4 linked regions of the Mytilus edulis genome follow. The protein of the gene in region 4 binds, or shares a complex with, the protein of the main gene of each other region. Links are inferred from orthologs where the notes say so. Each region holds a gene or a part of one and is shown on either strand. Other genes may lie near its edges. The genes, in order: DNA-directed RNA polymerase III subunit RPC10-like, DNA-directed RNA polymerase III subunit RPC3-like, DNA-directed RNA polymerase III subunit RPC9-like and DNA-directed RNA polymerase III subunit RPC5-like.

Region 1 (7,773 bases), on a different chromosome or scaffold from region 4:
GGCGTTTATACAAATGACACGCTTTGGCGCAGTTTCAACTAGACATGTTTGGGGGAATCGGACACGTTTGGGGGGAAGGACACGTTTCTGAGTGTTACATATATACAGTGTAATCTGCTTTATCTGATACTTGAGTATTCCAACATCCTGCTTTAACATGTTTAACCAACATATTTTTATGGTCTCAAAACATGCCTATCATTACAGAAATAATCTGAGTATTCAGACACCCTGCTTAATCAGATATTTTTTTCTGATCCCCCAGTGAGTCAGATAACACAGGTTACACTGTATATGTACCTTTTGGCTCTTTAAGTGTCCCCCAGGTTCCTACTTACAGTTATTATATCCGACAATGTACTCTGGACCTTGATCATAACTTCCTGATGACTAAGAACCAAATCCTCATTACAGTTCTCTTCTTCATCTTCTTCACCTTCTTTACATTCAACCTTATCTGTGATCTGATCAACAGGTCGGCTGTCAAGGTCATCACTATGGGTACTGTCTTTGTTTACATTTTGTGTGTGTACATTCGTGTCAGAAGATTTTGGTGTACTTTGATCAGCACTCAGGGATTTGACAACCTACAATTAAACAAGTATTTTGTGAGTATTGCATTGATTATTTGAGTGAATTTTCTAAGTCACAAGGACTATTTATGAAACTCTGCACAAAATCATCAGTCTGAAACAAAATTATAGATTTGTAACTTTTCATGATAAAACAATGCTTTCTTTATGATCTTTGTCCAAATAGTTATGACGTCTTTAACAGTCAAGGGTCTAACTTAAATAAGTTATCAGAGAAAAATAACATGCATGTGTTATTACAGACACTTTCATGAGTTGTCTACTCTTTTTTCCTTAATCTGTAATAACATATATGTTTGTTATCGGTTAAATATATCATAAATGTTTTATCTTTATGGGCACTAGGGAATTCTTAAAACTTTGCGCAGTAGTTTAATATATTACCTTGATAACTAATTTTCTAATTCTATTAATACCATTTTGATCAACCACGGTAAATCAATGAGACAAGGCCTTTAAGGGCAAACTACATGTAAGCTGTAATAACAAGGCTTAAGTTATTACAAGCATGTAAATAACTGTATGAGAGTAAATGAGACACTTGAAATCTTGCGCAGTGCCTCATTACAAGCTCTGATCATCATTTCTTACCATGAATTGAAAGTAATTGTTATGCATGTCAGGGCAAAGCATTCAAAGAGATATATATATAGAGAATCTGTAATAACACCCTTTTGTTATTGCAGGCATATATTTTCTGTTATAAAATAGGTGTACTATGCATGATTTGTAAACTATGAGCTGTTATATCTTTGCAAAGATTAGTATACATAAAGTAAATTATACTATCAATAGAATTGGAAAAAAATTTAACAAAATAAAGGTTGTATATTTTCCCTTTGAAACATGTAACATACATACATGTATGTTATCACAGTTTTTTGATATTTTAGCCCACAATAACAACATGCATGTTATTTTTCTCTAATAACTTATTTAAGTTAGACCCTTGACTGTTTTTTAAAACATGTTTAAAAGCTATTTTATTTTTGGGATTTGACGCCTTACCAAAACACAGTAAGGTGTCAAAGCAACAACAAAAATAGTCTTTAAAGACATCATGATTATTTGAACTATAAATGCTTTCTTTTTCTAAACTTTTTATATTGCCCTTGTATCATGTGCATATCATCATGATCATTTTCATATGTCTTGTACTGTACAATGTATGTGTGTATGTATTTTAAAAGCTCTATAGAGCTTTTTTTTTCTTTGTTTCTTTGTAACTTATATACGTGTAATACTGAATATAAATAAAGCTGTTGTAGGTCGTACATGTACTTAGAATGAGGCATTCAAATGAGTTAATTGGTACGACAGTGTTCTCCCCAGGACATGATACATTTGTACTAATAAGAAGTTGTCTGAGTTTGTAGTACAAGTCTGTGTTTATATAATTAGTGGTAAGAGTTAAAATTGACATTGGTAAGAGTTTGCAATGGTGCAGGCAGCATAGCTACAATCAGACAACCTCAAATTCCAACAGTCCAGTAGTCTGACAGTCCAATAGTTCGACAATCTGACAGTCCGTAAATCCAACAGTCTAATGGTCCGACACACATATAATATACTATTCAATTCCTGTTCAACATGTTGATGTTGTTAACGAGAAATCTGTTGACATACATGTACATGTGCATGTGCCTGCATGTAAAATATAATGTGGTTGAAAGTGATACATGTATGTCACATGTATTAGATGTGTGGCAATATTGGAATCTTCTCATATCTGAAGGGCGTTCGCCCCGAAACGACTACATCGGATTGGATTACATACACATGCATGACATGAAGAAGTAAATAAAAAAATTTGTATCTGTAATTTCTTTTGTTCTTTAAAGATCAATAACTTTTAATGAAATAGGAAAAGTGTCATTACATGTATCTCAAATTTTCCACATGCAGTAACACTTTCAGATGATGTTTCATAGTTCATGGAATGTAATCTCAATAAATTGCGTCACATCTTTTTTTCTGTCATCAAAATAATACTTTATCACGGGTTCGACGACTTACAGAAAAGAGTGACGATTTACAGAAAAGAACCGAAAAGGACCGAAAAGGACCAAAAAGAACCGAAAAGGACCAAAAAGAACCGAAAAGGATATCGATTTTTTTTTGTAATCGAAGGTAATAAAGCGACCCCTAGATAATCCAGAGTTTATTGTGGCTTTGTTTGTAACGCAATTTGTTCTGTCCTACTTGAATTGTTTAACGAAATATCTTCAAAATAAAGATTGTGATATGGTTCTTGCATATGACGATGCAGCTAATAAATACATTAAAGACCTTAAGACAGTTGAAGTTTATTCCCCAGATCTGCCAGATGTAAATACATGGGAACAAGAAGTGACAAAGTGACGATTATCGTGATTAAATCACGTGCAACAAATGTATATTTGACATTTAACATCCGAGAGGAAATGGTGATGCTGACATGTATATTTTTTATATTACCATACCCAATGCCACCGGGCAATATGCTGACATCTTAAATATAAACAAACGAAATATATTTTTTTTAAATGTAAGGAAAAACTTTTGTAGTACGATAATATTTGCTTTTCAATTTTTTTTTACTGCGTATTATTAAAAACATGTAGTATGCTAATTCAGTAAAACGTTTAAACCTGCTGCATTTATATTTGCACCTGTCCTAATTTAGGAACCTGATGTTTAGTGCATGGTTGTCGTTTGTTGATGTGGTTTGTGTTTCTTGTTTCTCGTTTTCATTTTTATTTTGACCTATAATTGTTTACTTGTACAAATTATGACTTTGATTGTGAGTTGTCACACCTTCTTATATCTATAAAAACAAATATTTAAATAATAAGATTAAAATCCTTGATGAAAAATAAATGATAATTAAATACATATATTAAAAAAATATTACTAAAAAAAAACAAGTTATATTGTTTCTCTTTTGTAAATTCACATACCCCTATAAATGCACAATCTAAATTTTGAATTATGCATTCCATTTTATTATTACGAAGAATTGTTAACAATATAAAAAAAAATCCGTGTATATATACATGGTTTTAACTTTATTTAATAAATATATATGCATCCTCTTTTCGGTCCTTTTCGGTTCTTTTTGGTCCTTTTCGGTTCTTTTCTGTAAATCGTCGCTCTTTTCTGTAAATCGTTGGACCGCTTTATCACTGCTCTTGTATTGCAATATTATAAATCGCTGTACTATCTATTCTTTTTCTGGTTTAATTGCAAAAACCTGAACTTTTTGCTGATAAATGATAACACTTATATGTAAATTATAATTATAGACTTTCTCGTTCTTCATATACATGTAGATTATACCGTTGGTTTTCCTGTTTGAATAGTTTTACACTAGTAATTTTTTTGGGCCCTTTATAGCTTGCTGTTGGGTGTGAGCCAAGACTTCGTATTGAAGACCATACCTTGACCTATAATGGTTTACTTTTATAAATTGTGACTTGGATGGAAAGTTGTCTCATTGGCACTCATAACACATCTTCCTATATCTACATGTACTTAGCCTTCCAAGTCATAGAATCGCGTAAAAAAGAACGGAATGAAGATGGGCAATGACGTGAAGACAGTACTTATTCATACACAGCAGACAAAGCAGATACATTTGATCATGAGATAGTGGATATAAGACTGATGGCTGCAGTGCTGAAGGTTACAGGTTCAATTCTGACTCTGGGTGCGAGACATTTCATTCATCAGAAGGATGAATTTCATTATCCCTCTCCCATCTCTTTGGATTATAGGACTGTCTGATTATAGGTATTACTCCATGGTACAAGTTTTCTATAAATTGCTGAAATTAATTGATACTTTAATTACTTGAACATACATACATACACTTGGAGCTATTACCCGTTAAGGGGTGTTCCTTATAATAGGAAGCTTATACGAAGAAAAGAAAGAAAGCTGCTACACTATACAGTAAAGCCAAGCAATTGTTCTCAAATTGCATATTAAAGGTAGACATTTACCTTAACAAAGCACCTATCAAGTAAATCAGACTGGTCCATGGGCGCAGCCATTTTGTAAAGTCATGTGATATGATTGCTAATTTTTGTGTTTATTTCAAACATTCTAATCATACGCAGCAAATAATAAATAAAAAGAATAATGGTAACTTCTAAGAAAATTAAATTAAATTTGATTATAGTGCTCCGAACAAAATGAAAGTAGAAATGAGGTCATTTCCGGTTTCACTTTGTTCTTTCACAACTATGTTGCTGTTTTGTCCAACGTGTGCGAATATTCTGGTGGTTGAGGAAGGCCAGAACTGCTACAGATTCGCATGTAACACATGCCCTTATATACAAAATATCAACAGAAAGGTAACCATATAAAGTTATAAGAAATATATCTCGGCTGATTCATGATATAAATTTTTAGTAAAGTTAAAAAATCTTGGATATGTATAAAAATATACTGTAGAACAAAAAATTTGTCTGTCTATGATTTTCTCTTTGTCAAAAATAAGGTATTGGTCGAGGACATAACTGTCATCTGAAAATTGTCATGACATCGTGTGAGGTATGTAGCATATAGTCGTCATTTGATTGGGGTCTTATGAGGGGGGGGGGGGGGGGGGGGGGGGGGTGTTCTGATCCTGGATTGCGCTTATTGTTTAGAGAGAATAACGTATCCAGTGATGGATCCAGAAATTTACATAAGTGGGGGCCCACTGACTGACCTAAAAGGGGGCCCACTACAGTCACGCACCAATGATTTCCTATATAAGCAACCAAATTTGTTCCCAAAAAGGGGGAGCCTGCCCCCCCCCCCCCTAAATCCGCCTCTGGTATCTCCCTTCTTGTTGCAATAATAGCGCATGTAATGTCCCATGCTCCTCCAGACTTTGTTTCCTGTTTCACCCTTATTTATTTGACTTTCACTTGCCACCTTAAAAAAAAAAAATTGGCTACATACGTGTCACTTTTTCACCTTTTTTTTTTTTAAATCGGCCTATCCCACATCACAATTAGACCCAAATACAACCCACTATGATTTCTTGAAAAAAAAAATCTTTTTTTTTGCGATTGCTTTTTTGGTGGTGTCATTTAAACCAATTTAGAGTTATGCCCCTTTACAAAAGGAAAAATTGATGAATTTTTGGTTTCTTGTCTCTTATTTAAGTTTGTCTCAACAAAATGTTATAAAACTTATATACAAATGCCTTTTTACCAAAAACTCAAATCAAGTATAAATTTGGGTAGCTTAAGTGTCATTAGCACTCATACCACATCTTCCTATATCTATAGGATGGAGAGTTGTGTCATTGGCACTCATAATTTATTACTTCTTTTGTTCTTCAGTTATGTCCCTTAAATTATAACTGCAGTGTATCCCAAACTGTGTCTGACTGACAAAATGTCAGACAAAAATTCTTATGGCATGTATGGTCAGACATAAAATGTTACATTTTTTAGTTGAATATATCATTGTATATAGAGGAAAAGTGTCACATTTCTTTTTTGATCAGATCAACCCTTATGGCTTAAACAGTTTTGATATATAAGCGGGGGTTTCTTGGGCATATTTAATAAATGGTTATTCAAGATCGAGAACTTTTGCGTATGGATTGCATTTACCCTTTTTTCATATAAGACTACATTTGCAGTCTGTTTTTTTATGGTGTGCTAATACACTAAGACATATATGTCTATTCAGTACCGCAATTTTGTTGCCGCTGCCTTTGGACTATCATATATTGCAATCGTATTGAAAAAAACAAAATGCAGCATTTTACAGGTATCATCGGTGTCCTATGGACACATTCCCCATTTATTTTCATTTGATATTCATTGATATCATTAGATTGAGTTAAATACAAACATGACAAATACAAATACAAATACAAATACAAATAATTTTATTTTGCAATGAGCGCCCCAAAGGAGCAGAAATTTATATTCCAATACAAGCACAAATTATACAAAACACAAAATTCTATAAGGAATGGTACAATATAAGTTATTAATATTGATATAAAATAGCAAATGGAAGGGAACATAAAAACAGATGCATGTACATGTAACAATGAAATATATATATTACATTGTATTGACAAGTAAAGTCATGAACAAATGAAAGTGATTCAATCTAAGTATTCAACAATTTGAACTTTTCATTCTTAAATAAGTTGCATATTAATGTATATATATAATGATCTTCAGAGGACATTTAATAATAAACCATATAAATTTTTCATCACATTTTAGTTGATCAAATTTTTTTAATTTTAAGCTTATTTAGTTTACATTAATTGTAAATTAATGGGAAGTTCTTATTATATCTAGTTTAGGACATACAAGGAGAAAATGAGCATGATTTACATAATCATTGATTTAATTTAATTCCAGAATGTCTACCTTTTCAATTTCCAGATCATGAGCACTTATTCAAAATTTGGTTAAAATTTTCTTTTTCTGTAGTCCCCCCAACAATGCCCAAGATAAATAATTTTCAAAACTAAAGTTAGATTTAAACTTTCTGTATGTCAATGTATGTCCTTAATTTATTTCCATGATTTAGGTTAGGATAATCTTTAAATACTTGATCGTGCCAAATGTTTTTGTATTTTTCTTTTAGCATGTTTAATAACTGAAAGATTAATTTTCTATTAGGTTTTGTCTTATTTATTGCTCTACTAGCAGTGACCAATCAATAAGTGCTATTAGGTTGCACTCCTCTTGATAATAAAATTGGAAGATGTGATATAAAATTTGCTCATGAAACATCTATTTACATGTGGGCCATAGGTTACTGTACAGTCCTTCAACAATGAGTAACACCAATTCCTTTAAAACCTACTGATAGTAGGCTCTAAAATGCCATGATGATGACATGATGTAAAACAATTTAAATAAGAAAACTGATTTATGATAATAGAGTAACAAACAACAACCATCGAATTACAGGCTCTTTGTTTTGGACAGACACTTACAGACATGACATATTACTACATTTTTGTACTAGTTTAACAGTGTAACCTGATACCTGTCTAATCTGACACCTTAGTATTCCAACATCCTGCTTTTAGTGCTTTAACAGACACATGTCCCAAGCCAGAAACCTCTGGCCTTTCAGTGAGTCTCGTTTGTTTCTTTTTTAATTTTATTTCATTTATCTGTTTTACGGTTTTGTATGACGTTTATTTTCACTGAACTAGTACACA
Region 2 (7,781 bases), on a different chromosome or scaffold from region 4:
GAACATTATTGCTGTTTACAGTTTATCTCTATCTATAATAATATTCAAGATAATAACCAAAAACAGCAAAATTTCCTCAAAATTACCAATTCAGGGGCAGCAACCCAACAACCGATTGACCGATTCATCTGAAAATTTTAGAGCAGATAGATCTTGACCTGATAAACATTTTTATCCCATGTCAGATTTCCTCAAAATGCTTTGGTTTTTGAGTTATAAGCCAAAAACTGCATTTTACCCCTTTGTTCTATTTTTAGCCGTGGCGGCCATCTTGGTTGGTTGACCAGGTCACGCCACACATTTTTTAAACTAGATACCCCAAAGATGATTGTGGCCAAATTTGGATTAATTTGGCCAAGTAGTTTCAGAGGAGAAGATTTTTGTAAAAGATTACTTTAATTAACGAAAAATGGTTAAAAATTGACTATAAAGGGCAATAACTCCTAAACGGGTCAACTGACCATTTTGGTCATGTTGACTTATTTGTAGATCTTACTTTGCTGAACATTATTGCTGTTTACAGTTTATCTCTAACTATAATAATATTCAAGATAATAACCAAAAACAGCAAAATTTCTTCAAAATTACCAATTCAGGGGCAGCAACCCAACAACCGATTGACCGATTCATCTGAAAATTTCAGGGCAGATAGATCTTGACCTGATAAACATTTTTACCCCATGTCAGATTTGCTCTAAATGCTTTGGTTTTTGAGTTATAAGCCAAAAACTGCATTTTACCCCTATGTTCTATTTTTAGCCGTGGCGGCCATCTTGGTTGGTTGACCGGGTCACGCCACACATTTTTTAAACCAGATACCCCAATGATGATTGTGGCCAAGTTTGGTTTGATTTGGCCCAGTAGTTTCAGAGGAGAAGATTTTTGTAAAAGTTAACGACGACGGACGACGACGGACGACGGACGCCAAGTGATGAGAAAAGCTCACTTGGCCCTTCGGGCCAGGTGAGCTAAAAAGGAAAAACTTAAATTGCTTAAAAATGCTATCCATGAAGTTCCTTAACTCAAGTATATCGCACCATTGTTGCTCAGGGGTAATACTTATATCATGTATATGATTTCATGAATGTTCTGTTATGAATCCTTAACAATTTATTTTTTTCGTAGAGTAAAACTGCTCGTGCCTTGTTCAATTTCTTCCAAAAAATAAAAATAAAACAAACAAGGCCATGCTCTTCATTGCTCTTCTTTGATTGGTAACAAGGTTCTAAAAACACTTAATCCATGGATTGAATGTTGAATGTGTACTGATTGATATTTAAGTCTGAGACTTATGATTTTTATTAGTTATTTTTGTCTTTGAACAAGCTTTCAGACACTGTGGGTACTCTCAGATCTGTACTGTATCTTCTGTGTTTTAACTTTTAAGTGTATTGTGTATACAATGATATATCTGTATATCATGTATATAGATGCAAATTTGAAATAAATAGAAGACAAGTTTTAAAATATGCTTAAGAAATTAAATAGAAAAGATGGTGTCACAGAACTTATTTTCTAAAGCTTGCTTCAAGTTAAAAAATCTGAATTTCTTTAAATTCCTTTATCAAATTTGACTATTTAACAATGTTTAAATTATCTCCCTTAAAGTTCCTAGTTGGGAAAATTGATTCGAACAAACCCAAACAATTGGTGTAGGTTAAAACAGTCTTAATAATGCAATAAATCACCTTATTTTTACTTAATTATGTAAAGCAAATAAACAGTCTTATACATTTATTGCCAATCTGTCCCAAATTTTGCAGGCTAATGCAAAGAACTACATGTACACTAATTGTATACATTTACAAGGTGCTCATATAGTTAATGTATATTAAGCCCTTTATCACTGGTTTTTATAATTGTATTTTGATCTAATGTTGTCCCAGGTTATGGGGATTGTTTCGTACCAACTAACATTATTAACCTGCCACAGCCCTGATTACATGTTCATCCTAGGTCCATTCGCCCTGAGTTTGTTCGCCAATAGAGTCCATTTGGCCTGGGTTCATAATACCATTTTTTTAATAAACTAGTCAGCTTAGAATTAATAAAAGCAATGATGTACAAATTGTTAATCATGAAAAGGATTTCAGTACAAATTCATTTATCATGTTTATTATTAAACTCTGAGACTACTTTGACACCATCTTCACTAGCCAAGGATTACAATCCACTTCCCTCCTCTTCAGACAAGAGAGACATGGGTGGATTGTAACCCTAGGCTAGCAAAGATGACTAAAACACATGTGTTTAAGGTCTCAGTTATACTACATTGTACATTATATATATATAATAATTTACTGAATAGAAATATTTTGTTAACAAATATCAAAACTTTAAAGAAAAATACATTTTATTCATGTACATGTATTCTACTATGCAAATCAAAGGGAAAATGATAAATAAGATTCAGCAATACCGAAATATTCAGTGAATTTTACAACGCACGTTATAATTAACATTTAAGTCATATTCTGTTCAAATAATAAACATTATCAGAGGCATATACATTGTATATATGTCTCTGAAATTATGCAAATTTGCAACTAGAGAACAATAAGAAAAAAAGAAAAATCAGGCCAATGGCAAACCGGTATTAGGACGAGCAGGTACTTTACAAATACATGTACTAGAGCGAATACATATGTCAGTGAATCAGGGCAAACAGACCTTACCCAAGACAGGAGCCTATAATTCACTGGTTGTTGTTTGTTGCTGTTAAGCATAAAATAATTTTGTTTTACCACATCTTTTTATATCATGTTTAAAATCATATTTTATGTAATTATGTTTATAAAAATATATAGTTTATTTAGATCAGTAATGCACCTGTTCTAGTGAGAATTTGCTCTTTAATGCAAGGTATCTAAGTGCACAGATATTATCCTTCAATAGATGACATCCAACTGCTTCTGCTACTTCTCCAAAATTATCTTTTAATATGCTTTTGCATAGGTTACTTTTATTATGTGACATGCTGTTTCGTCATTAAATTGGTTGGTAAAATCAAAAGAGATTCCAGCTAAACAGAGAAGTATGGAAAAGATCCGAGAACTCCAAAAACAAAGAAGGTAAAAGCTGAAACAAAAGCGGTTTTGGAAACTGTTTACGATTTTTTGCAGTACAGTATAACTTTTGAGTTTAATTATAGATCTAATAATCGAGAGAATCTTAAACACAGTCCCCTGGTGTCTCCCCCAGCTAAGTAATCTACTTATCCAGTTGTTTTTTCCTTGGGTTGCACTGCCGAAAACATTGAGCCTACTGCAGAGCATCACTTTTTGACATTTTTTATTTGAAATTTCCTGTCGCTAGTGTAGTGTCAGTGTTTCTAATTTTTAGTGGAAAGTTGCCTTGTTTATCAGGTTTAATTCAATATTAACTATAGAAAGATGAAAAATATATACCAAATTAATGGCGAGCTTTTACATGGTTATCAATTCACCGTTTCGGAATCTTAAGCATTCTGGGTAAAATTTCCAAAAGAGTACAACAAAACGCTGTGATTGGTGTAAAACGTGATTAACAATAGAAATTCAACCAATGACCATGATGACGTAACGTTATTTTCATTTTGGTGTACCAACAATGAGATTACCCATAGTCCTTTAGATTTGATTTTTAAAAAGGCGAATTATCTAAACAACAGTGTAAAGTTAAGTTTAAAAGTAAGTTAATCAGCTTTGCTAATGTAAGCCAGTTTTGTAACAGACTTTGGGAATAGCTCTGATAGCAAGGACAAAAAATGAAAGAGGGAGGCGATTATACAAATACAAATACAAATATTTTATTGGATGCCTCCGATGATTGGCACAAACTCAATTACAATAATTGGCAATGGCCCATACAACTAGTATACAAATAGTAATGATGCAGCAATTAAACAATACTACATAGCATATCATTGGGCACATTTCGAACAATGAAATGTGCAGAACTTTATAAATATATCAATACAATGTATATAGGTTAATTTATAAGAATTATAAGACTACTGACATAAGTTTATTGTATGTTATAGCTTCAAATTGTTCATACATTTTGTATTACTCATTTATAAGAACATTTTTTCTTAATTCAAATGATTGATTAATAAAAGATGATATTAATCTAAGTGTTTTTGACTACACTTGCTATTAACTGATTAAGTAATAGTTTGATATATTCATCCTCCGTTTTGGATTGTTTGTCATAGTTTTTAAAATAGGACAATTTTGATACAAGAACATTTCTTTGTGATTCATATTTTGTGCAGTGCAAGATAAAATGTTTTTCGTCTTCTATATTTTTATTGTGACATAATTTGCACAACCTTATTCATGGTCCACTGAACATAGAAAATGACAGTGCATGTTTCAGGTTAAAGTTTTTGGTCAAGGTAGTTTTTGATGAAGTTGAAGTCCAATCAACTTGAAACTTAGTACACATGTTCTCTATGATATTATCTTTCTAATTTTAATGCCTAATTATATTTTTTATCCAATTTCATGGTCCATTGAACATGGAAAATAATAGTGCGAGTTGGGCATCCGTGTACTTTGGACACATTCTTGTTTTACCTCAATTTATAAGTATTCAATTTTAGGATATATATATTTCAGCAACTTTGTGATGTTTATGTCAGAATTTCAAAATGGGTAAGCGTGCTTGTTGTGTTAAAGGTTGTCGAAATAATGGAAGAAGATTAGAGAAATGGAAAGAACACTTCTGTGACTTTCATAATTGTAATTTTGGAACATCAAGATGTATATGTGAACCTCCTTTTACACTTTTCACATTTCCAACTGAACTTAAAAACCCATACAACAGGAGAATCTGGACAAAAAATGTAAACAGAAGTATTGGAAATAAAATCTGGACCCCTACTCAAGAGTCTCGTATTTGCTCAATACACTTTGTAGATGGATTTCCTAATGACAATAACCCATATCCAACATTGTGTCTTGGTCACGAATTGGCTACTACACAAACTTTTGCAAGACCACCACCAATTGACCGATCAAATATAGATTCATCTCCATTGAAAAAGAGAAAACATCAAGATTCTCCCAGTGACAAAAACCCAAATCCAACATTTTGTCTTGGTCAAGAGTTGCCTACTACAGTAACTTTTGTTATACTACCACCAATTGACCAATCAAATATAGATCCAACTCCATTAATAAAGAGAGAACATCAAGATTATCAAGATTCTCCCAGTGACAATAACCCATATTCAACATTGGGTCTTGGTCAAGAGTTGGCTACTACAGTAACATTTGCTAGACCACAACTAATTGACCAATCAAATATAGATCCAACTCCATTAATAAAGAGGGAACATCAAGATTCTGACAGCACAGATTCATATGACCACCATGACCATGAAGACCATAACTATTCAATTGCCTGTCTCTCTTGTGAACAGAAATCTTATGCAATAACCCCAATGGTAATGGTATAATGTTAATTCAGAAATTATTGCGTGCATTTATTATTGCAATTTTTCAAGAATGGACAAAAGTGCAAGTTTAATTATTGCGATTTCCAAAAATAGCTGCATACAGATCTATGTTTCAGTTATCAGAATGCAAGTTCTTATTCTTGCGATTCCCACCCGGTTGCATTATTCAAATTAATTAAAACCTGACCATTTTTATTAATTTACAGTACATTGTTTAAATACTTTGTATTCTTGTACTGTATTCAGGGTATTGTCTTGTATTGTAATTTTTTGTAACACTAAGAATGTATTTACCAAATTTAATATTTAAATTGCTCCCTTATTTATAATCTTCACATAAGGTCATATATAATGTATCTTTCCTTTATGGGGTAAGATTACATTCCCCAATTTTCACAGCCAAGTTAAATTAAATAAAAATTGGCTTCATCATTTTCATGGTATACATGTATATTGCATCAAAAATATTTAAAACAGTTAAGATAGATGGCACTGTTTTGATACTTTTGTGAAATTTAAAAGTACAAATGTTGCTTTGATCCCCTTTATATATACAAGATTTGTTTTGCTTCATTACACTTACCATTGTTACTAGGTCAGTGACTTTGAATTCATTAGCAATATCAAATGTTAAGTTTTCTGCTTAAGTCATAATTGGTGTGATAAAAACTCCTTGTGATAAATCAATGATATTTTATATAAAGTTGCATTGCTTTTTGTACAACTCAGTCTGTACAAATATGTACATATCAGTTTAATGACTATTTTTAGGCCCTGCCTGTTATGCCTGGCATGTTATGGTGTCTTTGTTAGAATAGATATAGGAAGATGTGGTGTGAGTGCCAATGAGACAACTCTCCATACAAATAACAATTTAAAAAGTAAACCATTATAGGTTAAAGTACGGCCTTCAACACAAAGCCTTGGCTCACACCGAAAACAACAAGCTATAAAGGGCCCCAAAATTACTAGTGTAAAACCATTCAAACGGGAAAACCAACGGTATAATGCCTTAATTAAATGATGCTAAAATATAAAGAACAGACAATAATCATGATAGTAGGCAAAAAATGTGAATACGGTAATAGAGAAAATGGGCCAAAAAATATGAAGCATAGGATATAGAAAAAAATTACCTTAAGAGTATAGAATACAGAAAAAAGGGACCTTCATACAGACCCTCATCATGTTCATGTATGATTTTGTGTCCAGAACTTATACATGTTTTACACCTCATTTCTTTTTTCAACAACCCAACCAAATGATTACAATATTAAATTATTTCTTTCAATTTTATTTCAGTTTGAGATGTCAGTGAATTACGCAGATGGTTTATCACCATATGAGCATAAAGGACCTTGTGGCCAACCAGAACTACAAGATTCTCCTGAAGAAGGAGAAAGAAAGATAGCAGAATTGGTAGAGTTGATCAAATATAGTAAACATATGATTGTCATCACAGGTGCAGGTATCAGCACCTCAGCAGGGATACCTGACTTCAGGGGGCCAAAAGGTAACTTTAAATCATAGTCAGCAGGAGAGTTTTCTTAAACATGTATAACATAATACATTTGTAAAGAAATATGAATGTTTTTTTTTTTTGTTTTTTTTTAGGCCCTTGGCTCCTCCGGGGAGCATAGGCCATTGACGAACTCCCTCCATCTAACTCGATTTTGGGCCAGCTTTTCTAGTGTGTTCCAGTTGTGTCCTTGCTGCTTTATTTCCGATTCTGTGTCCCTACGCCAGGTGTTTCTTGGTCGTCCTCTGTGTTTTTTTTCCCTTGAGAGTTCTACTTTAGAGTCTGCCTTGTAATCTGCTTGGACGTTAAGCAAACAACAATCAATCAATGTAATCTGCTTGTTAATTTTCGCAGTGTGTGGCATATCCATACCCATTTTCTTTTCTTGATTTGGATGTCAATCAGTTCTTGGCCAGCTCTTTTCCATAGGTCTTCATTTCTTACTTTATGGAACCATCTGATGTTCATGATTCTCCTTAGGCAGTAGTTGATGAACCTTTGAAGTCTTAGACAACATTGTTTTGGTTGTTCTCCATGTCTCTGATCCATACAAGAGCAATGATTTAAAGTTGGAATTGAAAATTTCCATTTTTGTGCTGCTTGAGATGTTCTTTGCACTCCATACTTTCCCTAGAGTGTTAAAGAATGAATGGGTTACTTTAGATATAAAAGAGAGGTAAAAGATGCCAAATGGATATATATATTCAAAATCACAAGTTGAAACAAAATGGGTGATGCCATGGCAAAAAAATGAAATACGATGAAGACAACATAGGAAACTGAAAACTACCCAACACAAACTCCATAAAAAATCAAGAG
Region 3 (7,243 bases), on a different chromosome or scaffold from region 4:
AAGTTTGTTCCACAGAATCGTCCTCGTCTTCCATCTCTTCATCTCCAGCGTTAGATGCTTCTTTTGTTACGTTATATTTTGTTATGATTTCTAACAGCTGATAAATCTGGTCTTCTGTTAAACGTTCTTCACTTTCTTCTATAATCAATTGAATTTCAACAGCTGATGTTGGGCACTGATTCAAAATTTGTAGTTTTTCTGCTTTTGTTAAATTAAATGCTTGCAAATCTGTCATGATGTTTTGAATAAGTTCTGGACTTTGATTTTTGCAAGGTGTATTTTCTAGATATTTAACAGTTTCATAGGTAATAGTTGCAAGGTTTTTCTGGTGCTTGTTTGGTTTGATTTGTCCTCTTCCAGTGTGAATGTCAGACAGGAGTTGTAGAACTTCATAATTACTCAGTATAGCAGAGTTGTCATTTTTCACCTCCATTTTACTATAGTATGATTTATAATCTATGAGGTTGGGAACTGCTTTTCTAATGTCCTGATGGATATAAATCTACCAGCAGCTATAACATATACCCAGGCAAGCAACACAATCACAGCTAGTAACTGAAAATTAAAAAAATTAAAATAAATCTACTAGCAGCTTAAACGTATACATACCTGGGCAAGCAACACAATCACAGCTAGTAACTTAAAATTAAAAAAAAGAGGTTTATTTAGAAACAAAGTTCTTATTTCAATGTATAGAAAATTAAAGTGCTAATCCTAAATTGTTTTTATTTTTGGTCCTACTATCATGATTATGGTTATTTTGAACTTCCCAACTGACTCTTTAACTTTAATTGTTTGTTTATCATAATTTATGACAGAAGTCAATCTAAAATATATTGTATTGTAACCAGAGAGAATGAATTTCATTACAAAATTGCTCGTCTCCACCTGGACGCGAAACTAGGACCTCTGTTACTAGGCAGTGTGTTAACCAACTGAGCTAAAGAAGAACTTCCTTAGCTCAATCGCTTACAGCTGACTTAGTATCTACCAAATGTTCTAATGGACGAAGTACTAGTTGTCCTGTCACAGTATATTAGAAAAGAAAAGATATTGGTATAAGATAGAGCATAATTGTCAATGAGAAAACTCTCCACATGAGACCAAATGACTCAAAAATTTAACAACTATAGACCACATGTACAGCTTTAAACACTGAGTTAAACAAATACCTACTAGTCAGCTATAAAAGGAGCGAAATGACAGATATAAAACAATTAAATCAAAGTGAAAATGATTGGCCTGCACAGCAAAAAGCACAAAAGGCATAAAAACTGTGCTTTTATTGTTGATCATAAGGTGACATTGTGACCATTCAACAAACAGCAAAAACTCTCAACTCACAGCAAGTTTAAGGTGGGCACTAATGTATAAGTCAGGGCCGTAACTACATTGAGGCAAATGCCTCATGTTGGAAATTTAAAAAAACAAAACTGAAACAAAAGATTGTCTTCATATCAAGTTGTTTTCATAGAAAGCGTCTTGCAATCTGAAGCAAGTTCTCTTCACTCTCTGATGTCGCACCTGCATGTTTTTCGTGATCCATGTTTCTATTTTACTATTAGTTTTCAGATTTGATGGTCTATTGTTTGTACTGTGTCCTGGGTTTGTCTTTTGTTCATTTATTGTCCTACTTTATGACGATAGTATGATTGTTGCTTTTCATTTGTAAAAGTGTGGTTTTGCAATGTTGCATGTCCACTGATGCCCAGACATTGTGCAAGGAAATATTTTGAGAATACACGATGCTACTGGACACAGAAAAAAAATGGTCGTTTCTGCATGAAGAATTGAACTTGATTTCAAAGAATACAAAACTGTTTTTTTTTTTTGTAGATAAAACTAGATAGCTGACAAGGTATAAATTAAAGTAAGACCACCAATTTTCCGGTATCAAATCATCTACTAAAAAAACATCAATGTTTTACCGTATGACCTTTTCATACATTGAAGGATTAAACTTGCATTTAATAAGTCGTGTTCAGACCCTTTAACAAAAAATAAAGAAATGTGTAGTAAACTTGCACGGGACCTAATCTAACACAAAGTCAATGCAGAGAAAAATACAAATGATCAATGGTCAAAGTATTTATTCCTGCTCTTCATCTTGATAGTTGCTGGGGGGTCTTCAACAATAAAAGAATCATTAGTAACTTCAAACAAGGTCAAGATGGTCCTTAGTGTCGACTTAAGCAGAACTAGTACTTAAAGTATAATACTGCACTGTCACTATATTTAAATCTAGTCGTAAACAAAGCACAATACAAGACAAGAACAGACAGATCCGATTTTAATTATAATGAGAATTACGATTTTTGCTTTATCCTACATATCGGTCTACCTTTAAAGCTGTCCACGTAAAACCCAAGTCTTAAATTACACTGAATCTATGTATTGAGACAAGAATATTGTTAAAAAAAAAATAGCTAAAAATTGATTTCGTTTTAATGTAAGAAAAAGTCTGGGAAACCCTCAGAATGCACGATTTTGAGGGTTTTTTTTTCAGAGCTTCTTCCGGCCTTGAGTGGCCCCCAGACCCCTCGCCAAAATTTTTCCACATCGCTATGCTAGGTGAATATATTTTGCTTCACTATTATAAGAGGCTAGTTACGGACCTGTAAGTTCATTCAACCTTGGTGTTGACTGGCTAGCGATTACAGTAGTAACTACTTAGAACACTCTGCCACAGAGGCCCACGGCGTCATATGACAAAACTCTCATTATAAATCTGAAATGTGTATAAATCTGAACAACTAAATGAATTTTGTAAAATGAATCTAAAAAAATCGAGTTGTAACACGTTTAGGTAACTCATTTTTACATTTAATTAAAGGATGTTTGATTAATCAAAAATGATGCTTACAAAATTTAATAATCCGTGTATGGTGGTTTTACTGACAACAATCATTTTTATCTAATATTGACACACAGACTTCATTTACAGAATCTAAACATTTCATTTGTTTTTACTGCAAATTCAGGTGTAAAAAGACCGGAAGTCGGATATGGAAAATTAAATATCGATCTTAAAAATATTAACGGAGAAACAACGAAATATTTTACGCATTTTACTTTTGCAATTGTTCTTAAAAATACAATAACAATGCTGTCTTCATATTTTTTTTTAATATTCTCGCGTTATAATTTATGAATAAATGTATTTTTACAATTTTTGTTGGGAAATATTGATTCTATGCAATTTAATAGCAATTATCCGGAATACGATGTAATTAACGCGAAACTCGATTTCCTTGTTAGAATTTCACTGTAAATCGATTGGTGACGTCAGATGATGCTGACAGCAAATTAGTTAACCAGTTTCTTCTATTTTACTCGAAAATGCATTAACGCTGATTTTTTAAATTACGGTAAAAACATGCCTAACACCAAAATTTTTATCTAATATTTTTAAAAGTAGCAAAAACATTAGAATCATGTCATCTGTAAAATTATTATTCTACCAAATATTATTTACCAGATCGTCCTTAACTGTACAGTTAAACCTGCTTTAATTGTCACCTTGTTTCAGCGGTCACCTGCCTCTATAGCTCATTTACAGATCCTCCATAACAATTTCACTAAATATACATGTTCATGTAACTCTTCAGCGATGACTGAATCCAGGTCCGTTCACCATGATTCATGTTCGATTAGATTCAGGTTTGCCCTGATTCGCTTTTGCCCTAGTACCTGTTCGCCCTGATACATGTTCCCCCTGGGTCCACTTCCCTGATTTTATTTGTTTTCCTTTTTTGCTGTCTAGTGCATAATGTTTATTATCTGAACAGAATATGTTTAACCCTCTTGCTGCCATATGTTTTTCAGTGTTGCATTTCATGTGCCAGGAAACATGACTGCTCGATGATCATGTTTGTGATGTGACATGCCAAACAATGACGTCATTCGATATATGAAGTCATGTCGTAATGATCATTACATTTGAGAGCCATTGCAGAAACATATTGCACTTTTTAATTTTTGTCGAGCCTGCAACTTGTGTTGCAGAAAGCTCGACATAGGGATAGTGATCCGGCGGCGGCGGCAGCGGTGTTAGCTCACTTCTTAAAAGCTATATATTTTAGAAGGTGGAAGGCCTGGATGCTTCATATTTTGTATATAGATGCCTCATGTTACGAAGTTTCCGTCAGTCACATGTCCATTGTCCTTGACCTCATTTTCATGGTTCAGTGACCACTTGAAAAAAAAGTTCAGATTTTTTGCAATGTTAAATTCTCTCTTACTGTAAGTAATAGGATAACTATATTTAGTATGTGCGTACCTTGCAAGGTCCTCATGCCCGTCAGACAGTTTTCACTTGACCTCAACCTCATTTCATGGATCAGTGAACAAGGTTAAGTTTTGGTGGTCAAGTCCATATCTCAGATACTATAAGCAATAGGTCTAGTATATTCAGTGTATGGAAGGACTGTAAGGTATACATGTCCAACTGGCAGGTGTCATCTGACCTTGACCTCATTTTCATGGTTCAGCGGTTATAGTTAAGTTTTTGTGTTTCGGTCTGTTTTTCTCATACTTTATGCAATAGGTCTACTATATTTGTTGTATGGAATGATTGTAAGGTGTACATGTCTAGCGGGCAGATGTCATCTGACCTTGACCTCATTTTCATGGTTTAGTGGTCAAAGTTAAGTTTTTGAGTTTTGGTCTTTTTATCTAATACTATATGTCATAGGTCAACTATATTTTGTGTATGGAAATATTTTATGATCTATATGTCAGTCGTGCAGGTTTTATTTGACCTTGACCTGGTTTTCAAGGTTCATTGCTCAGTGTTAAGTTTTTGTGTTTTGGTCTATTTTCTTAAACTATAAGCAATAGGTCAACTATATTTGTTGTATGGAAGCATTGTTAGCTGTACATGTCTGCCTGGCATATGGTTCAACTGACCTTGACCTCATTTTCATGGTTCATGTTAAGTCTATGTGACGGTTGTAATAAAGCTTTAGATTTAGGAGTATCAACATAATATCAATGATTAGTAAAGAAGGCGAGACATTTCTGTGTGTGCACTCTTGTTTAATTTTTAAAGAATTTCATCAATGATGAGAAGCTTGCATAAATTAGAACATGGACATATATGTCCCTATGGCACAGTCGGTCTGGACATATGTGTCCCTCTGGCAGCAAGAGGGTTAAGTGTGTTGAAATATTTGCCAAATATTTGTATTGCTGCAACCAATTCATTAGTTTCCCTTTGATATGCATAGACTAATAGAATATATTTATTGATGTTTGTTAACAAAAATATTCTTTACATTCCGTATATCGTCAGATTATCGGAATTTCAATGGGGACTAACTGTGCACCACTTATTGCGGACCTGTTTTTGTATTGCTATGAGTTACAATTTATGACAAAAATAAGCAAAGACCCATCGAAACAACATCTTACAAACAAATTTAATAATACTTTTCAGGGTTGGCAAAAACCCGGGTTTTATGAGTATTGCCCTGCCCAGTGGGAAATACTGGGAAAACCCGGGTTTTACTGGGTTTTAATGGGTAATACTGGGCAATACTGGGTAATATAAAATACTTGCCTGAAATTTAAACTCAATTGCAATACATTTAAGATATTTATAAACACATTTTGATTTATAAATTAGTTTACTTGTTTGAGAGTGATAATACATTTAAAAAGTACTATTCTTGCAACTATGAGACAAGTAAATATGTAGTCACACATTACACAAATATTAATGGAAAAGGCCTTTATCAATAATTCTCTTCTGAAAGTCTATTAAATCACCCTCTCGTCTAGATTGGTCAAACTGTTAACATAAATTCAAAGAATTCATTTTTCAAATGTATACATGTATATCTTACATTAAAAATTAACAAGAAAATGTAAGAAAAATTACTTTTGTATAATTTATATGTACATCACTAATTAATAAGTAATTATTCAGATTAGGACATTGATATGTTTATATAACAATATTCAGCCTTTTCATTTCTATAAGGGTTAATGACTTGACCCTAAGGGTTAATGACTTGACCCTGTAGGGTGTTTATTTACCAACATGATTGCATAGACATTTAAATTTATAATTCACATAAACACTGCTATAAAATGCATTTTTAGCTCACCTGGCCTAAAAGGCCATGTGAGCTTTTCTCATCACTTGGCGTCCGTCGTCGTCGTCGTTAACAATTTTTCAAACAACTTCTCCTCTGAAACTACTGAATGGATTTGAATGAAACTGAACATGATTGTTCCTTAGTATATCCTGCACAAAATGTGCGCTTCGATTTTTGATCCGTCAAAAAACATGGCCGCCGTTACTTAAAATAGAACATAGGGGTCAAATGCAGTTTTTGGCTTATATCTCAAAAACGAAAGCATTTAGAGCAAATCTGACATGGGGTAAAAATGTTCATTAGGTCAAGATCTATCAGCCCTGAAATTGTCAGATGAATCAAACAAACCATTGTTGGGTTGCTGCCACTTAATTGGTAATTTTAAGGAAATTTTGCAGTTTTTGGTCATTATCTTGAATATTATTATAGATAAAGATAAACTGTAAACAGCAAAAAAGATCAGCAAAGTAAGATCTACAAATAAGTTAATATGACCAAAATTGTCAATTGACCCCTTAAGGGGTTATTGTCCTTTAATGACAATTTTTCACAATTTGTTCATCATATTTGCTAACTTTAAAAAATCTTCTCCTCTGAAACTACTGAATGGATTTGGTTAAAACTTAGCATGATTGTTCCTTAGATTATCCTGCACAAAGTGTGGGCTTTGATTTTTGATCTGTCAAAAAACATGGCCGCCGTTACTTAAAATAGAACATAGGGGTCAAATGCAGTTTTTGGCTTATATCTCAAAAACGAAAGCATTTAGAGCAAATCTGACATGGGGTAAAAATGTTCATTAGGTCAAGATCTATCAACCCTGAAATTTTCAGATGAATCAAACAAACCATTGTTGGGTTGCTGCCACTTAATTGGTAATTTTAAGGAAATTTTGTAGTTTTTGGTCATTATCTTGAATATTATTATAGATAAAGATAAACTGTAAACAGCAAAAAAGATCAGCAAAGTAAGATCTACAAATAAGTCAATTTGACCAAAATTGTCAATTGACCCCTTAAGGGGTTATTGTCCTTTAATGACAATTTTTCACAATTTGTTCATCATATTTGCTAACTTTAAAAAATCTTCTCCTCTGAAACTACTGAATGGATTTGGTTAAAACTTAGCATGGTTGTTCCTTA
Region 4 (7,487 bases):
GGCGTCATGTGGCAAATATTACATGCATATCGGACAATGAGTTGTCAATCTGTATGAAAAGTTTTCCAATACAACCATATTATTGAGAAGGAATGTTTACATGCTATACTCTCGTACTAGTATTACAGGGTTCTTGTGGCGTTCACCTTAGACACACATCGTTTTAACGATGTTTAAAAAAAGACAGAACCAATTTAATGTCATATTTCCCTATTTTTTAAATATAACTAAAATTCTTTTATCTGACAAGAATATCCCTATTTAGCGAACAAGTAATTTATTCTTTTTTCGGTTATTGAATACCAAGAAAGAAAATAAATCCCGAAATTAATTTGAAACTTTGATACTCAAAAGTTTCCCAGCAAAATATTCGCATCCCCTGGGGATAATTAGTGTTTGTCCAGTGGCATATATAACAATTGTGATGACGAATTCCTTCCTTTGTTTGAGAACAATCTTATTGAAATATAAATCTGTGATTTTCCTAGGTCCACAGCTTCAATGAACCAAAGCAAAAGTTATACATCGACCTGTATTTAAATCAAATTGGTTCTCTTCTTCTTTTGGTATACAACTGTAGTCTATCGACATTCGATAATTACATACTGTTGGCATACGTTGGCTAGCCTATTTACAACACTTTTACCCCTATTTATTCAAAATATATGTTTTTTTCTTATGTTCAATGTATTCACGTATATATTTTAAATTGCGCTATAGTTCCGTAACTTTATATCCAGTCGTATAAACGAATCGTCGGCAAGTGCGTACATTTTTTTAAATCAATATTTCTGGTCTGTTCCAATCTGTCCTTCACTATTGACAATGACTATATATTACATTTTCCCAAATTCACCCTTGGAAAAAATATTTAAATAGATTTTAATTTCATCAAATCTTATTTTTTGGGTATTATTTATATATTATGAATTATATTCTTTACACCAGAAATGTTATTTATAAACAAGCGTATGAGTTTAGTAATGACAAGTAAGACAGAGTTGTATATTATACATCTGATAGTTCAAAATGGAAAGTTATAAGTTATAAGTTATCAGCCGTGTACACTGATCAATACCTGCAGAAGTGAAACGATGCATGAACTTGCAAGCCCGACAGGAAATCGCTTGAATACCTGGACGTGTCACCTCACACCCCTCACAATACCTTTGGAAGTAATACCTTTAGCCATGCTGGTGATCAGATAAGGGAAGATCAAAATATACTTGAAAAAAGTTTATTACTTTAAAGAATTATGAACAAATTAGATTTTCGAAAACAATTTTCACGGAACACTTATTTATGATTTCAACTTTGACTTTTCACCTAATTCACATATCAACAGTTTAAAAACAACAGACCATGGTAATTTAAAAAAAGTAAGAATATTTTCCATATCAAGTTAGTTAGTCGTATTATACAACCGTACGATTGACAAGATATCGACAAGCAATTACGACTACATCGGTTACTGTAGTTTTGTTTCTTTGTGGTTTATAGACATATCGTTTTTATTCATCGGGAAAGAAGACAAGATGGCGGATCTCGGAGAATTGATACTCTAAATTTAAAATCGATGGTGATCGCTTATCTAGCGGAATAAAACTTTAATATCTATGAATTTGAACATTTTTATACAGAATGAACATAATATCAATTTTTGATTTTTTTGCGAAGTTTCCCTTTAAGGTTCATCATAAGGAATTGAAAAATATGGCCGTGTTTACACCTCAAAAATTACTATGAGTACAGACAAACTGGTACATCCAGGAAAGTTTTAAGGCATGGCAGGAACTAGATATATAAAAGTTATATGAAGTCTACGTTTCAGAAAATTAAAAACTTACCTGGATTTTGATGTCCATTTTTTTCCAGTCTGCAGAAGATAGCAAAATAAACAAACACCCCAGTCTTCACGATGAACTGTTAAACCTACAGGCCCGGAGCTCAATTTTTGAAATTTTTTAGTTAGATTCTGTTGGCCTGTAGATATGATATTTACAGGCCCGAGAGCAATTTTACAAGCCTGGGCTGCCTGGGCTGCCTGGGCTGCCAGGGCTGCCACTCAGCGTGAAGACTGACACCCGAGTTTCATTTGATACGGTCCACTCAGTTACACAGTTTAAACCTGTTAAATCACATATTGTTTACAGGTGTCTATTGTCCATCTATTGTCCATTTAAATCAATACTACTCACAACATTGATTATATGAGGGGAGCTTCTCAATCGTTTTCACGACTTAGTTAATTTTTGCACCTTCTGCAGGAACGAAAAAAAATGGATAGCAAAATCTAGAAAAGTTTATAATTTTCTGAAACATAAAATGCATTTAAAATTTATATATCTAGTTCCTGCCATCCCTTAAAACTGTTGCAGGTGTATAGGTTAGTCTGTACTCAGAGTAAAATTTGGGGTGTAAATACGGCCATTTTAGCCAAAAGGTTAAAGGAAAGAAGACCATGTATACTGCTTTGGAAATGATTGGACGATGTTCACATATCGTCACCCTTACATTCAGACACAACATATGCAATTATATATTTTTTTTTTGTCAAAATGATGTGGATGCTTGAGCATCTGAGCATACATGCAAGCTACGCCACTGACTGATAGATGGAATAAATGTTTTTACATACTCTTTCTTTGTTCGAAATTTTCCAAAAATATTTAAAGGAAAGAAGAGTAATTGGACATTGTGGATATAGTATGGTAAAATATGTCTGCTATATGGTGAAGTTTTTTTTAACTTCTTCAGTTCTTGAACTAACAATACCCCTCCCCCTTTTTCCAAACAACAATCCCAAATGATTAAATTTCAATTTTGTCAAAATTTTCAAGTATTTTATAGCTAACTATGTAACGCAAGTATACTATTCTATAACAAAATTCATTATTGAACCTGTCATTAGATTAAAATGCAATGTTTTGTCACCTCATGCTCAATCGGGTCGTCTTCTTCGTCCGACATTGTTCCGACTGTTATACTCACAGGTAAGTTAAATAGTGCTGATCCCTAACCTGGTTTTATTCAATTATTTTGATAAAATATACATATGATCACATATTATTTTTATAATATGATAGATTATTTGTAAGTTTTCCGTTTCCATTTTTATTTCCATACTTTTTTTATAATCTGTTTTCAACAAGATTTTTTCTCTCTCTTTGAGATACAAAAGAGAGTTTGGAATGGGGAGAGGACGGCTTACATTTTATTTTGGGCAGTGTCTGCGCATACCCGCATGCGGGTACGCGTAGTCAAATTTGACTTCGTAGGCTACGTGTACCCGCAACCGATTTTATAATAAACTGTCATATGATAGTGAAAGATGCACGAAAATGTCGGTTATTTCCTGATTTTGTGAGTCAGTTCAGGGAAGATAATGGCAAATTATATTTTTTAATTTGTATTTAAAGTTTTGGTTAGAAAAATAGAAATTAAAAGTAATTGCACATTAAAAAATAAAATTTGTATAATTCATATGTTAAAAAAGTGTGAAAGTTATTTTTCTAATAAAGTTGTCAAAACGACTAAAAATAAAGTTTGAGTGTATACAAAATTTAATAATACTTTATTTCCGTAAGCAAATACAGCTTATTGGATTTACACAATATAAATATCCAATAGATAATATACAGCATAATATAACATTTATACACAAATTATACAAAACAATGAAAGAATTAAGCGGAGTATGACATATAGACATATTAAACTAAAAATAAACATTTGAATAATTAACCATTACGTGCTTTTTCTGCAGAAAACAAATATTTTACTAGGTTGTTTAGCTCTTTGATATTTCTTACAGATAACAGCTACACTAATTCAGTAAAGTAGAGGGTCTCTAATAGTAATAACTATTTACATATTTACATCTGATGTCGTTATATTTATCACATTCTAAAATAAAATGATACTCGTCTTCAATAGTATTTGTATTACACATACTACACAAACGTTCCTTTCTTGCTATACTATAGTATCTACCTGTTTCTATGCATAGTGCATGAGCATTTATGTTATATCTAGTAATATAAGATTTATACAAACTGTTTAATGGACGACTAAGGTAAAATTGCATAGTGTTGCCATCTTGTAAATACTGATACAAAGTGCATTTCGGCGAATTTTCAAAATATGATAAACCTCACGTCTGCGTACATGAACAAAAATGAATTTAACATTCTGACTTCATATGGCTCAATACCCAGGCCTGTTTGATTAATTCTATTTCTATAGAGAGAATATAAAAAGGGGATAATGACTTCCTTTGCATCAATCCTGCGGTTACAACTAAAAAACTCTGAAAACTGACCATCTAACTTCATTAAACACAGGTTTTCAATTTAGAACACATAGGTAATACGATAAAATTCCATCCCGTTATTATATATATTCAAAATTACGCGGGCTCACGTTCCCAGGAAACAGACTCCTAGGAAGCATTAAAGAACCCTGGGCAAACGAACCAAGCCGTAGGCTTGCATTTCCCCCAAAAGAGTTATCTACACTTAAATGGCTTATTTGAGAAAAATATGATTCTAAAAACAAAAAAATGGATATTTGTTTAAATATTATGAATAATAAAGTTAATCACAAAGTTTTTTTTAAATCAATAAACAGTCGAACTAATAAATTGTAAATCTGTCTCCAAAACTGCAGATTTGGGCAAATAACTAGACCGATTTTGTTTTGCGATTGTATAATCCAAGATGTTGTTATACCATGGAGCTACCTTTAATCTATTTTTTTTAAATATGTCATACGTCATGTAATTATGGGAGTATTTTCATATTTAGAAGAACATTTTGCCGGCACTGATTAAGCTATCGTCTGTATAGTCGAGATTCACGTTGATAGTACTAGGCATGCTTATTTAAAGTTATTAGAATATATATGGTACAAATAAGTGTTATATATATTTAAAAAATCTGAGGTTTATGATAATAAAAGGGAGGGACTAGGGGGGGGGTCATAACAGCACCAATGTCACAGTGTGAAATAATTTCTAATAGGTGTAACAATTTTGACCCTCAGACTGTATTTGGTTTGAAGAGTGGACTATTTTTTTCAAGGATCAATTCATGGTAATATTCATTAAAACTTTAATCAATTTATTCTTTCAATATATACTATTATCGGTGTTGCAATACATTTTTTAATACGTTTTACCTCGGGACTTTTCTATTTTTTAATCGGAACACCTCGGCAGCTTCCCCTGCTTCGGAATAATTTTGATTAAATGTCAACAACAAACAACACGTGAGAGGATGGCGGAAGACGTCAACGAACAATCATCTTTGTTGAAACCACAGAAAAAAATGTTGAAACAACAGGTCTATAGTAACAAACAGTCATGGATAACTGAATATATTTTATAAGTTTTTCCTTCACCATACTTTCGGTTTCGCATTTAAACAATGAACTTTCTGAGTCATTTTTTACAGTTTTTGTTTTCTTTTCCTCTAGCTGCTTAAAAGCGGGAAACAAAAACTTATGAGTCAAATCTTAGAAATCAACCGGCAAAAAGTATTTAAAAATGTATGATACAAGGAAACAAATCTATACTTCATGTTCTTGGATATCTTCATTGAATCTAGAGATTGAAAGTGTTCAGAGAAAATGGCATTGATTGGAAAACGATGCACAGAATATATTGAACTTTCTGAAATAGGTTGTGCTCTCAAAAACACAAATACAACATCTTACGGTTCAACACAATTGGTGGAAGTTTCTGTAAACTTTTTGGTAATATGAAAATATATTGTGCTTGCCTTCATATACATGTGATAAGACCTGAGACAATAACATTTTATGTTTCAATCCTTTATGTATTTGTCAGTTATAAAAGCTCACAGATATGTATATCTGTTTATTAAGGTATCAGGTCAGTTTGCCCTAATTGCATGTTCGCCTTGGGTCCGTTCGCCCTTGGTACGTTCGCCCTACTTTTAAATAAGAAATGTCAATATTATAAAGGGCATAAAAATTTACAAAACTTATTCAGATATTTGAGGGGGCTGATGGGTTATTTCCGTTCTTCGTGATCGGCTCATTTTCGCTATCGTGATCCGTTTATCTACAGATTTATTTTTCGTGATTCGTGATGAAACCATTGTTCGTGAATCGTTTTCATTGGAATTTTATGTTCGTTCTTCGTGATTGAGACATATTTTTCGTTCTCGTGATTTTTTTTTCATTACGGAAAAAAAGAGTTCCATTGAGTTGTCTTTCTTGGCTTAAAAAGTTGAAGTGGCACGATAGTTTTAAAAGTGCAATTAGGTCATTTATTAGTGCAAGCTATGGCAGCCCCCATGGCTGAGAGCCACAGCAATAACATTGTCGAGGTTGTGATATTTTATGTAGATCCAACCTGTTTTGGACAGGAAAATAAATTTATTGGGACAACCAGCAGGAGTGGGAGAACAATCAGGCTCAGCAGTAAATTTTATTGACAAAATAAATATATATACTTTATAATCTCTTAGTTTAGCCTCAAGATAAAACACAGATGTGGTTCCATGGTATTTACGCCAGTAAAACATTTCTATGAAATATTATTATTATACAATAAAAGAAGTCAGAATGTGACTGTTTTTAACGATTTAATTTAGAACCTGGGAGAATTCAACATGTAAACAAGTAATGAGCCAGTAATGTATTTGATTGTAGCTTAATTGCACCAAACAACCAGCTTCTGAATCTCTATTATCGAGATTGATTGGTGATACTCTTCTTATATTTTCGTGATCTGTGATCATGGAAATTTATTTTCTGTGACTCGTGATTGACAAAAAAATCAACTCGTGAATCGTGATGAGACCCCCCCATCAGGCCCCTCATATTTATGTGGTCTATTCTTTGAATTTCTGAAAACACATAGAAAGCTTGTTCAATGACATAATACTTCTCACTGATTGTTGTAATATTTGTCTTTGATGCGGGATTAATAATAAAAACAACATTTTGTTTTAAGAAAAGAATTTACAAGTTCATTTATTATGAAACTACTTTAACACAATCATGTGATAGAGTAGTCTCAGTTATACTGCTTAAATCGACTGAATAAAATGATTTGGTAACAAATATTAAAATAAAGATAAATTATAAACATTGATTTGTATTCCAGTATTCTACCTATATGTAAATCAAAAGAAAACTATAAAATGGTTGAGGGAATACATATACATGTATTTGGCGAATTTCAACAAAATCTAACATATTCATATATAAATTATAAACATTATGCAACTAGACAACAATAAGAAAAAAATAAAATTCAGGGCGTTGGACCCTGGGCAAAACAGGTATCAGGGTGAACATGTACCAGGGCGAACGGACCGGGATTCGTTAATTTACATGCCGTCTATAAATAAAGCTTTGAATTGAATTGAATTGAACATGTGTTGCAGAAGCCTTAGATTAGACATACTAGAAACAACCTTCTAATAATATTAAAAAACATAAATTAAAAAAAAAAG

The links.
Region 1: DNA-directed RNA polymerase III subunit RPC5-like (region 4) and DNA-directed RNA polymerase III subunit RPC10-like share a complex: the UniProt entries of both Homo sapiens proteins name them as parts of the RNA polymerase III complex. The link is inferred for Mytilus edulis from reciprocal best matches to the Homo sapiens genes POLR3E and POLR3K.
Region 2: DNA-directed RNA polymerase III subunit RPC5-like (region 4) and DNA-directed RNA polymerase III subunit RPC3-like share a complex: the UniProt entries of both Homo sapiens proteins name them as parts of the RNA polymerase III complex. The link is inferred for Mytilus edulis from reciprocal best matches to the Homo sapiens genes POLR3E and POLR3C.
Region 3: DNA-directed RNA polymerase III subunit RPC5-like (region 4) and DNA-directed RNA polymerase III subunit RPC9-like share a complex: the UniProt entries of both Homo sapiens proteins name them as parts of the RNA polymerase III complex. The link is inferred for Mytilus edulis from reciprocal best matches to the Homo sapiens genes POLR3E and CRCP.

The regions. Positions count from the first base shown.
Region 1 is NC_092355.1:14,059,096-14,066,868, forward strand, and holds the start of DNA-directed RNA polymerase III subunit RPC10-like, read left to right. Parts: upstream 1-4,753; 5' UTR 4,754-4,768; coding exon 4,769-4,930; intron 4,931-7,773. Other genes in the region: U11/U12 small nuclear ribonucleoprotein 25 kDa protein-like, read right to left, coding at 339-587, 4,577-4,627. UniProt on the Homo sapiens protein: Core component of RNA polymerase III (Pol III) which synthesizes small non-coding RNAs using the four ribonucleoside triphosphates as substrates. Can mediate Pol I proofreading of the nascent RNA transcript.
Region 2 is NC_092347.1:36,094,649-36,102,429, forward strand, and holds the start of DNA-directed RNA polymerase III subunit RPC3-like, read right to left. Parts: upstream 3,024-7,781; 5' UTR 2,977-3,023; coding exon 2,830-2,976; intron 1-2,829. Other genes in the region: NAD-dependent protein deacetylase Sirt7-like, read left to right, coding at 4,634-5,431, 6,746-6,956. UniProt on the Homo sapiens protein: DNA-dependent RNA polymerase catalyzes the transcription of DNA into RNA using the four ribonucleoside triphosphates as substrates.
Region 3 is NC_092344.1:6,443,872-6,451,114, forward strand, and holds the start of DNA-directed RNA polymerase III subunit RPC9-like, read right to left. Parts: upstream 3,008-7,243; 5' UTR 2,864-3,007; intron 556-2,863; 5' UTR 434-555; coding exon 1-433. UniProt on the Homo sapiens protein: DNA-dependent RNA polymerase catalyzes the transcription of DNA into RNA using the four ribonucleoside triphosphates as substrates.
Region 4 is NC_092352.1:63,261,766-63,269,252, forward strand, and holds the start of DNA-directed RNA polymerase III subunit RPC5-like, read right to left. Parts: upstream 3,004-7,487; 5' UTR 2,971-3,003; coding exon 2,935-2,970; intron 1-2,934. Other genes in the region: H(+)/Cl(-) exchange transporter 7-like, read left to right, coding at 5,629-5,754. UniProt on the Homo sapiens protein: DNA-dependent RNA polymerase catalyzes the transcription of DNA into RNA using the four ribonucleoside triphosphates as substrates.